Saccharomyces cerevisiae S288C: one gene and its partners. Changing the gene in region 1 together with any one later gene gives a genetic interaction. Each region holds a gene or a part of one and is shown in the gene's direction. Other genes may lie near its edges. The genes, in order: MTC5, DSF2 and BOL2.

Region 1 (3,760 bases):
CATCAGGTGGATACGTTTTACACTTACATAGGGATATTGAGGAGACAATTGTCTTTTTACAAAGTGATCCTTCAAGACCTGCCTATGTGGAAGAAATTCGTGAAGTTTGGAACAGAAGGGAGGGGTGGTATAAAGAATGCTCAAATTTCTCTTTCTTTGCTCCTCATTGCTCCGCAGAAGCTGAGTTCCAAGCTCTAAGAAGATCGTTTAGTAAGTACATTGCAACCATTACAGGTGTCAGAGAAATAGAAATTCCAAGCGGAAGATCTGCCTTTGTGTGTTTAACCTTTGATGACTTAACTGAACAAACTGAGAATTTGACTCCAATCTGTTATGGTTGTGAGGCTGTAGAGGTCAGAGTAGACCATTTGGCTAATTACTCTGCTGATTTCGTGAGTAAACAGTTATCTATATTGCGTAAAGCCACTGACAGTATTCCTATCATTTTTACTGTGCGAACCATGAAGCAAGGTGGCAACTTTCCTGATGAAGAGTTCAAAACCTTGAGAGAGCTATACGATATTGCCTTGAAGAATGGTGTTGAATTCCTTGACTTAGAACTAACTTTACCTACTGATATCCAATATGAGGTTATTAACAAAAGGGGCAACACCAAGATCATTGGTTCCCATCATGACTTCCAAGGATTATACTCCTGGGACGACGCTGAATGGGAAAACAGATTCAATCAAGCGTTAACTCTTGATGTGGATGTTGTAAAATTTGTGGGTACGGCTGTTAATTTCGAAGATAATTTGAGACTGGAACACTTTAGGGATACACACAAGAATAAGCCTTTAATTGCAGTTAATATGACTTCTAAAGGTAGCATTTCTCGTGTTTTGAATAATGTTTTAACACCTGTGACATCAGATTTATTGCCTAACTCCGCTGCCCCTGGCCAATTGACAGTAGCACAAATTAACAAGATGTATACATCTATGGGAGGTATCGAGCCTAAGGAACTGTTTGTTGTTGGAAAGCCAATTGGCCACTCTAGATCGCCAATTTTACATAACACTGGCTATGAAATTTTAGGTTTACCTCACAAGTTCGATAAATTTGAAACTGAATCCGCACAATTGGTGAAAGAAAAACTTTTGGACGGAAACAAGAACTTTGGCGGTGCTGCAGTCACAATTCCTCTGAAATTAGATATAATGCAGTACATGGATGAATTGACTGATGCTGCTAAAGTTATTGGTGCTGTAAACACAGTTATACCATTGGGTAACAAGAAGTTTAAGGGTGATAATACCGACTGGTTAGGTATCCGTAATGCCTTAATTAACAATGGCGTTCCCGAATATGTTGGTCATACCGCTGGTTTGGTTATCGGTGCAGGTGGCACTTCTAGAGCCGCCCTTTACGCCTTGCACAGTTTAGGTTGCAAAAAGATCTTCATAATCAACAGGACAACTTCGAAATTGAAGCCATTAATAGAGTCACTTCCATCTGAATTCAACATTATTGGAATAGAGTCCACTAAATCTATAGAAGAGATTAAGGAACACGTTGGCGTTGCTGTCAGCTGTGTACCAGCCGACAAACCATTAGATGACGAACTTTTAAGTAAGCTGGAGAGATTCCTTGTGAAAGGTGCCCATGCTGCTTTTGTACCAACCTTATTGGAAGCCGCATACAAACCAAGCGTTACTCCCGTTATGACAATTTCACAAGACAAATATCAATGGCACGTTGTCCCTGGATCACAAATGTTAGTACACCAAGGTGTAGCTCAGTTTGAAAAGTGGACAGGATTCAAGGGCCCTTTCAAGGCCATTTTTGATGCCGTTACGAAAGAGTAGACAATAATATATCTATCCTTTTTTATATTTTACAATGCTTCTATGATATCTTTACTAAGTATGAGTTGCCAAATAGTCAGTGTGACTGCTTACATACGTTGAATTTCTGTATATTTTTACTAAGTTGCAACAGTTAGATAATTACAAGTTACCCTTACATTCTGTGGGATGTAGTCGAAGAACATCTCAGAGTAGGTCATCAAAAGATGCAAATCAGCTGAGCACCCCACTTTCAAAAACATTGTAAGATATTTGAGGGAAATCGCCTCTGGCCCGTTTATTCACTGAAGAATTAATTATGTGCAGTAGTATAAATGAAGGTCCGTATAATTCGCCCACTTTTGGAAAATCATTATCGTTGAAAGTAGATGGTGGGTTCAATGCCGTATCTATCAATCCCTCTGGTAGGGATATTGTTTTGGCCAGTCGGCAAGGTCTTTATATTATCGACCTGGATGATCCGTTTACACCTCCAAGGTGGTTGCATCATATTACGCCCTGGCAAGTTGCTGATGTACAATGGTCGCCACATCCCGCAAAACCATATTGGATAGTCTCGACATCGAATCAAAAGGCAATCATATGGAACTTAGCAAAATCTTCATCAAATGCCATTGAGTTTGTACTTCATGGGCACTCAAGAGCAATTACAGATATAAACTTCAATCCGCAACATCCGGATGTTTTAGCTACCTGTTCAGTCGATACGTATGTACATGCTTGGGATATGAGAAGTCCACATAGACCATTTTATTCGACAAGTTCATGGAGATCTGCTGCTTCTCAAGTGAAGTGGAATTACAAGGATCCTAACGTCTTGGCATCTTCACATGGAAATGATATATTTGTGTGGGATTTGAGAAAAGGCTCCACTCCCCTCTGTTCTTTGAAAGGCCATGTAAGCTCCGTAAATAGCATAGATTTTAACCGGTTCAAATATTCTGAAATTATGTCGAGTTCGAACGATGGGACGGTGAAGTTTTGGGATTATTCAAAAAGTACGACAGAATCAAAGAGAACTGTAACAACAAATTTTCCAATCTGGAGAGGACGTTACCTTCCTTTTGGAGAAGGTTATTGTATTATGCCAATGGTTGGAGGCAATAACGCAGTTTATCTGATTAATCTATGCGACGATGATGACAGTGAACAAAATAAGAAGACGAAACTCCAGCCAATATATGCATTTAAAGGGCATAGTGACCGAGTAATTGACTTTCTTTGGAGATCAAGACATACGTGCGATGGGGATTACGACGATCGTGAATTTCAATTGGTTACTTGGTCCAAAGACTGCGATTTAAAACTATGGCCAATTTCTGATAGTATTTATGGGAAAGTTAACTTTGACAGAGGCAAGAGACTTGAGGAGAAACTACCAGATTATGATTATTGCTCATACAATAAGGAACCTGAAAATAGGGAAAATGTTCAAAAGAATGAGTTTAGGCGTTTACGAGAAAACTTTGTGACAACTTCTGGATTGAAGAAAAACAAGACAAACCACATAACATGGCTCTCAGGAATTAGAATGAATAGCGCAACTTCACAAGAGGATTTATTCAATGAGACAAAAATCCAAAATTTAGGAGAGGAAGTAAGCGCCATTGGTCACAAGTTCCCAAAAGTCGTTTTTGAAAAGATATCCGTGTCCACAAGGGAATTGTGCCTGACGCTTAATGGCCCCTGGTCAGAGGAAAATCCTGATGATTATATATTCTTACGAATAAGTATTAATTTCCCTCTCAACTATCCAAACAAAGGGGACCCCCCCAAATTCACAATTGAAGAGAATTCAAATTTAACCATGAGTAAGAGACAAGAAATACTTTCCAATTTAGCAACAATTGGTCAAAAGTATACTGACTCAAATCTTTACTGCCTGGAGCCATGTATACGATTTGTTTTAGGTGAGAAGGTTAGCCTGGAGGACATCGAAGAAGGGCAAGAAC
Region 2 (3,760 bases), on another chromosome or scaffold:
ATATCGCTGTTGCTTATGGTTGTTTCTACTTATTCTTTGAAGCATTCCCTATTGTATTTGTAGGTATATACCACTTCAGCTTAGTTGAAGTTGGCTTGGCCTATATGGGGTTTTGCGTAGGGTGCGTACTTGCTTATGGCTTATTCGGTATTTTAAACATGAGGATTATTGTACCACGTTTTAGAAACGGCACATTCACCCCGGAAGCTTTTTTAATCGTGGCAATGTGTGTCTGCTGGTGCCTGCCTCTGTCTTTGTTCTTATTTGGTTGGACTGCTCGAGTGCATTGGATTTTGCCAGTTATCTCGGAAGTTTTTTTTGTTTTAGCTGTCTTTAACATTTTCCAAGCAACTTTTGCATATTTGGCTACATGCTACCCAAAGTATGTTGCATCCGTTTTTGCAGGCAATGGTTTTTGTCGGGCTTCGTTTGCCTGTGCTTTTCCGTTGTTTGGTAGAGCAATGTATGACAATTTAGCTACTAAGAACTATCCTGTGGCATGGGGTTCGTCCTTAGTGGGGTTCCTAACTTTAGGTCTAGCTATTATCCCGTTTATACTTTATAAGTATGGGCCATCATTACGTACAAGATCTTCGTACACAGAGGAGTAGAAAGCCGATGTTCTTACCATGAAAATTTGAATTATAATAACACAATTTTACTTATCGTCCATCTGTCGACAAAGATGTTCCACATAAGTTTACGTAAAGTTTAGCAGTGAAATAAATACTGTTCATAATGAACTTCATTGTTTATAAAAGTTGTTGTTGCAAGTATTCTCATGTTTATTTATCGCAGACTTGAAATCTTTGAAGGAAGATCTAAGGTCTACACACTATCGGTTACTTTGTGACCCTTTGCTTACCATACGGATGAAAAAAGAAAGAGGAATTACTTGAGCCACAATATCCTTCACTCATATTTGAAAATAGTACTTACTAAAGAAATATGCAACCATTTATACACGTAAGAAGTTCAATTATCAAATAGAAATTAAGCAAAATACTCAATTGAATACAGAGCAAAAGGATTAGCCATACGTTCTAGCACATTTTATGGGCCTAAGACATCATTTCCAGTTAACAGATAATATATTTCTACATAAAAACTTGGCTGTTCCACTGTCAAAGCCAAAAAGAGTCATTTGGTCATGAGAGTAGCTATGTTTCTACGACGAATCGAAAAAAAATGCATACTATTGATATCAAAATCATGCAGAAGGAACACATATTCATATATAACTAATCAGAGGATAAATCCTCTTGCGAATAAAAAGTTTGCGATGTTCTGATGCTTCAGGATTTCCTCTTAATAAATTCATATTTGAAGAGCCAAAGAACCAAAAGAATTGTACAAATTTTCTTCATCTATGAGAGGCCTAAAGGTTCGGGTTTGCTGCTATGTATCCTTGCTAAATTTTGATTATATTATGGCATTTATCGCTATTGCGTTTGCTTGCTGTTGCGCAAAAAATAATACAAAATACCTGATAATGTAAACAACGTAAATAATACAGGAAGTGATGCAAGAGAAGCTGCACAAAACTGCAGCATGCCTCACTTCGAAAAAAAAAAAAAAAAGAAGGAAGTCAGAAGAAGCAAGCCGATCTAAGACAGCTATTACCTCTAACAAGTAAGTCATAGATCAGAACGGCAATACCAGCCAGTGTACAATACAGCTGCATTACAACATAGCGTTTCTTGAACTTTTAGGTGACTGCTGGAAAAAATGAACGCGTCTCATATCGTGTGCGATGGCAACACCGGATCCCTGCGCTCAGAACATTCCGTGGACACCCACTGTCACTTCTTCGAGCCCCACCATTCCTTTACGCAGCCTGCGTGTGTTTCTGCGCGTTAAAACAATTATCACAGAAGGCTCCGGACGAAGAGCGGCAGAAAGAACAACGGTGCAACCGTCGTTGAATTTGATTATCAAATCACCTTATCTGCCATCGTGTTCTAGTAGTCTTCCATTGTATTACCACGGACATTCAAAAATAGTTCTTCTTTAGCAACTCTTTTTTTCTGTTGCCATTGCTCTTTGCGATAGCACATTCTGTTCCTCAATGCTAAATATAGGTGGAACTTGTAGGAGCCTCGAGAAAAAACAGAAAATCTAGAAAAACAAACGGACTTTTACGTCACACGAAAAGTAATGAATCAAAATTTAAAAAACACTTCTTGGGCTGATCGAATAGGAAGCGACGATCAAGAAAGAAAAGCTAACTCTTCAGAGGTTTCACAAAGCCCACCACCCAATAATAGCTTCGAGTCATCAATGGATTCACAATTTAGCTATGCTCATTCAAATAAAAGTAGCATTTCATTCGAATCTATTCAAACCACGGAAAGACTTCTTGACAAATTAGACCTCAGCTTGGAAGATGAACTGATTCTGCAAGAAGCTTTATTAGAAGAAGAAAACGCGTCGAGAAATTCGCAACTGTCACAAACAAGTGGTCCAACATTATGTATGCCTGCGTCGGAATTCCCTTCATTAAGGTATAGAACTAATCCCTCTCCAACATATATACAAGCTAGAGATCGTTCTCTTATCATAGACAATTTAAAAGAAAAGGATTCCACTTTGAGAGGCAAATACTCTTCCGGTAAAGTGGAAAGGCATTTGCCCGTGAAGTCGAGATACTCTTATATCGTCGAAGAAGATTATGACTCTGAGACTTTTAGTGGCATGAAACCCCAAATGAATAGAAATGAGAAAGATTATAAGTACCCAAACCTTGAAAATGGCAATAGAAGCACAAATAGCCCTAATCCTTTCAACTTCGAGAAATATAGGATTGAAAATACTAGACTGCACCATCTTTATCCTACGCTGATATCAGACAATAATACTAGCGTTGACAATAATGCTAATAGTAAGAATAACAGAACTACTAGTAATAATATTAATACATCTACAAAAACTGACAGAATATCCGAGAAGCAGAGTTGCCCCAATGAGTTCACAACCACGCAAAAGAGTAATTGTCTTTATCGGAACGGAAGTTCAACAAGCACCAACACCTCCTTTTCTGAAGTTGGACAACTATCAAAGCCGAAAACTCAGTCTTCTTTTGAAAGTGAATCATCCTCATTCTCCAAACTCAAGTTAACTAAGAGTGATACAACACCCATCAAACCATCTCCTAAACGGTCTAATTCCTCTACCTCGACGATAACGAAAACAAATACCATGACAAATGATATTTCATTACCTCCAACGCCACCATATAAAGCTCATAAAAAAAAAACGTCACTAAATTCGCTAAAAAAACTTTTTAAATCTCCTAGGACAAGAGCAAAAAATAAGAAAGACCTTGAGTCTGAAGGATCAAGCCCTATCCGGTCTGCCACCAATTCATTGGACTTCTCTGGGGAGAATATTCAACTTCCATCTACTTCAAGTACCATTAATAATTCCAGTCCACATTTAGCTAGGTATATTTTTCCTCCAAACCCAGTTTTCCATTTTAAAACAGCATCAACACCTCAGTCATCCACGGATAAAAAAAAGAACAGTAAAGCACGTCCAAATAGGACTCATTTGAGAACTTTCTCGGATTTCCATACAACGGAAAAAGATTCAAAAATAGGTGAACTAAGTGCACTAACAGAACAATCAAATAAGCCCTACCACCCGAAAGTTAGAAGAAGAACACTTTCTTTAGATGGTATGTTGCCCAATAATTCGACGCAATGCATGGATTCCTTCAGTCATAAAAAAGAAGGATCGAACGCAACAAGCAAGTGCGGGA
Region 3 (3,023 bases), on another chromosome or scaffold:
GAATCGGTCAAGCTTAAGATCTTGTTATAGTTCTTTAGCAAATTCTTTTGGAAGGCCTCATTGGTTTTAGTCAAATCGTTCTGTAACTCCAATTGATAATCTTTAATCTGTGGAATATGAGAATCGCGAAACAATGGTAAGACTTCATCCATTTTCTATCGTATTGGTTTTTTTTAGGTTTTCTACCACAAGATTTGTTGTACGAATGTGTTATTTATTATTCACCGCCATGTTTCATTTTTCTTCAGCATAATGATGAACTGTAACAGAAAATAGGAAAAAAAAATTGTCATCTGAGAAATTGCTTTGGATGACCAGATCCAAAACAGACATAAGCATTCGTATAATTGGTACATAGGTATATATCAAATAAAAATATGCATTATTCTAAAAAAAAAAAAAAAAAAAAAAAAAAAAAAATCAAAAATGTCTCTCTAAAGGGTGATTATAAAAAACTTGGTTTGGGCAAGTTTTTAGCCTCCCTTGGACCATTAGTGGCGAAAGTGGAGCCTGCATAAGAGTGACTGAGTTTTTTGGCACTGCCATTACAACCCATTGGTATTATCCCTTGAGAGCCATGCGGGGATTGTTTCTGGTTCAGAAGCAGATTCTTTAGGTTCTGACTCAGTAAACGAGTATCATCTTTGTTGTTCTGTCGTGGCGTTTCTTTATTATTCTGTCTGTTTTTTTTACCTAAAGTAGTTGTAGAGGAAGGGGAAGAAGGTGGAGAGTGCTTCTTTTGATTAAATGATGGTTTCTTGTTGGAAGAATGGCCGAAGTTAGGTTTCTGACCGTTAGGAAGAGTTTGAGGAGGTGGTATATCTGTGATATAGTTGTTATTATTGGCGTTCTTAGCAGCATTTCCCCTCGCACGATTATTTCTAGTTTTTTGTTTGATTAGATTATTTGTCTTGTTCCTGCCAGCCGATGGCAACAGCCTGGAGCTGTTGAAATACATGGTATCCGTCGACATGCCTTGTAATATTTGTGTGAGTATATTTGTGTGCTAAGTGTAATTACGTTACGCTTTGCTGAGTACTTCGTCTTCAATACAGAGTATGTTATTGTCCTTGTTATTTGAAGACTTTTACCTTTTCTATCCGTATTTCTCTATCCGATACAACAACATCATTTTACACGAACAGCCGGATGATAAAACTGTAGTACGTATGGTATTTGTGATATCCTATATAGCCATATAATTACTAGCAGCTATGCAACAGTCAAAGGATCGCAATCCATTTTGCTTACGACTACTTCGTGGCCCTCATCTTGCAACAAGCCCTTCATAACGTCTTGAAGGAATCCACGCTCAGTATTTGAGTGGTTGCAAACAATAACGGTCTTGCCCATTTCTTTCCACTTCAGTACTTCATGATGTGACATTTCTCCCGTATAGTAAAGGTCTACGTCCTCTTTTAGTTGCTTAAACACGCCAGAACCGCTCCCGGCACAGACAGCGACTTTTTTGATTTTGAGTTGATTCCATGCGGATGGAGCAGCAAGAGATGCTACTTGTACATAGGGAACCCGTAAAACACGCTTGACATTTTTGACAATTTGCTCCAAAGAGATGTCTTTATTGAATTCTACGAATCTACCGTAGCCAATCAAGTCGTCAGTTTCGCCACTTACAGTTTCCAAGGCATAAGACTTTGCGACGTTCTCTCCGTTGTTCAAACCCCTAACCAACCAGTCATTTACACCGCCACGAGCGGCATCTACGGCAGTGTGAGGGCAGTATACGGATATTCCGTACTGGATTAGCTTTATAGCTGTCTCGTGTTGTGGGTTTGTATGTGGGCTTAATCTGTTCCAGCTTGGGAAAATAAAAGGATGGTAAGCAACAATTACGTTGCAGTTAGCATCCACAGCTTCTTGAGCAACTGACTTCGTGAGGTCTACAGTCAAAAGGACCTTTGTTTTAGCGTTTGCATCGGCAGTGGTGACTTGTGCAGTGGAACAATCGATGAGAAGACCCGTATTGTCCCAGCTCTTGTCTGCGTACTTTTGAGGGTAGAACTTGGTAATGCTACGCACAAGTTTGTCCAATTGTGCTCTAGTAATAGCTCTGCTCATTGCGTTTCGGTGGACTCTTGTTCTGTTTCCTTCCGACTGTGTATTGGAATAAGTTTTTCGGTGTTATATATATACATATATATGACAGGTGAAAGAATTGAAAAGGTGAAAATAAATGACGAATTTGCAAAATCACATTTCCTAACAACTCAGTGGAGAGAAACAAAGCGCCAACGACACTATAAGATGCCCGTTACTGAACAGGGACTCCGCGAGAGGATAGAATCAGCCATACCGCAAGTTTACCATATCATTGTGACGGATCTTTCGTACGGTTGTGGTCAGTCGTTTGATATTGTGGTGGTCAGCGACTTCTTTCAAGGTAAAAGCAAACTAATGAGGAGTCGTGCAGTGAACAAGGCTGTGAAAGAAGAGCTGCAGGAGATTCATGCCTTTAGCTGCAAGTGCTACACTGAGGAGGAATGGTCTAAGATTGTGGTATGAAAAGGATGATATTGTTCTATTATTAAGTTTCGAAAGGAGACGGCATTGAATCTTTTTGGCATAGACGATTTTGCTTTCTTACGTTATTTACATCGGAGAGTATGTATTTGTGTAGTTATGTACTTAGATATGTAACTTAATTTAATGATATGGTGGGGGGCTATCCTCCATGCCCCATTTCCAGTTATTTGAAGGTTCTTGCGAGTTCAAACCTATGAAGTAAAACGGTTTCTTTTTAGATGTATCTTTCTTGGAGTCCAAATTTAGCGATATTTTTTCTGGTATAACGTATTTATCCCTTATCGATACTGTTGTTTTCAAATATGGGGGAGATTGTTCTTCAAGCTCGGGTATCGGTGTTTGGACCGGTGTGGACGTAACTGTTTCAATAGCAGTACTATCATCAACAGCCTGTTCTCCTTGTGATTGTAGGTTCGATGGTGTGCGGGTCTTTTTGCATTTGATCTTTCTTCTCCTTGGTTTGGCATTGTCGTCGTTGC

What was found.
Region 2: mutations in MTC5 (region 1) and DSF2 together harm fitness more than expected from each alone (negative genetic interaction), as found in Saccharomyces cerevisiae (2 studies listed by BioGRID).
Region 3: mutations in MTC5 (region 1) and BOL2 together harm fitness more than expected from each alone (negative genetic interaction), as found in Saccharomyces cerevisiae (one large-scale study listed by BioGRID).

Annotation. Positions count from the first base shown.
Region 1 is NC_001136.10:707,443-711,202, forward strand, and holds the start of MTC5 (Mtc5p), read left to right. Parts: upstream 1-2,106; coding exon 2,107-3,760. Other genes in the region: ARO1 (pentafunctional protein ARO1p), read left to right, coding at 1-1,808. UniProt on the Saccharomyces cerevisiae protein: Component of the SEA complex which coats the vacuolar membrane and is involved in intracellular trafficking, autophagy, response to nitrogen starvation, and amino acid biogenesis. May be involved in telomere capping.
Region 2 is NC_001134.8:249,414-253,173, reverse strand, and holds the start of DSF2 (Dsf2p), read left to right. Parts: upstream 1-2,157; coding exon 2,158-3,760. Other genes in the region: FLR1 (Flr1p), read left to right, coding at 1-611.
Region 3 is NC_001139.9:80,214-83,236, forward strand, and holds BOL2 (Bol2p), read left to right. Parts: upstream 1-2,160; coding exon 2,161-2,523; downstream 2,524-3,023. Other genes in the region: Golgi transport complex subunit COG1, read right to left, coding at 1-152; EDC1 (Edc1p), read right to left, coding at 446-973; NIF3 (uncharacterized protein), read right to left, coding at 1,213-2,079; ERMES complex subunit MDM34, read right to left, coding at 2,665-3,023. UniProt on the Saccharomyces cerevisiae protein: Involved in the regulation of the iron regulon in response to decreased mitochondrial iron-sulfur cluster synthesis. May be involved in mitochondrial organization and biogenesis.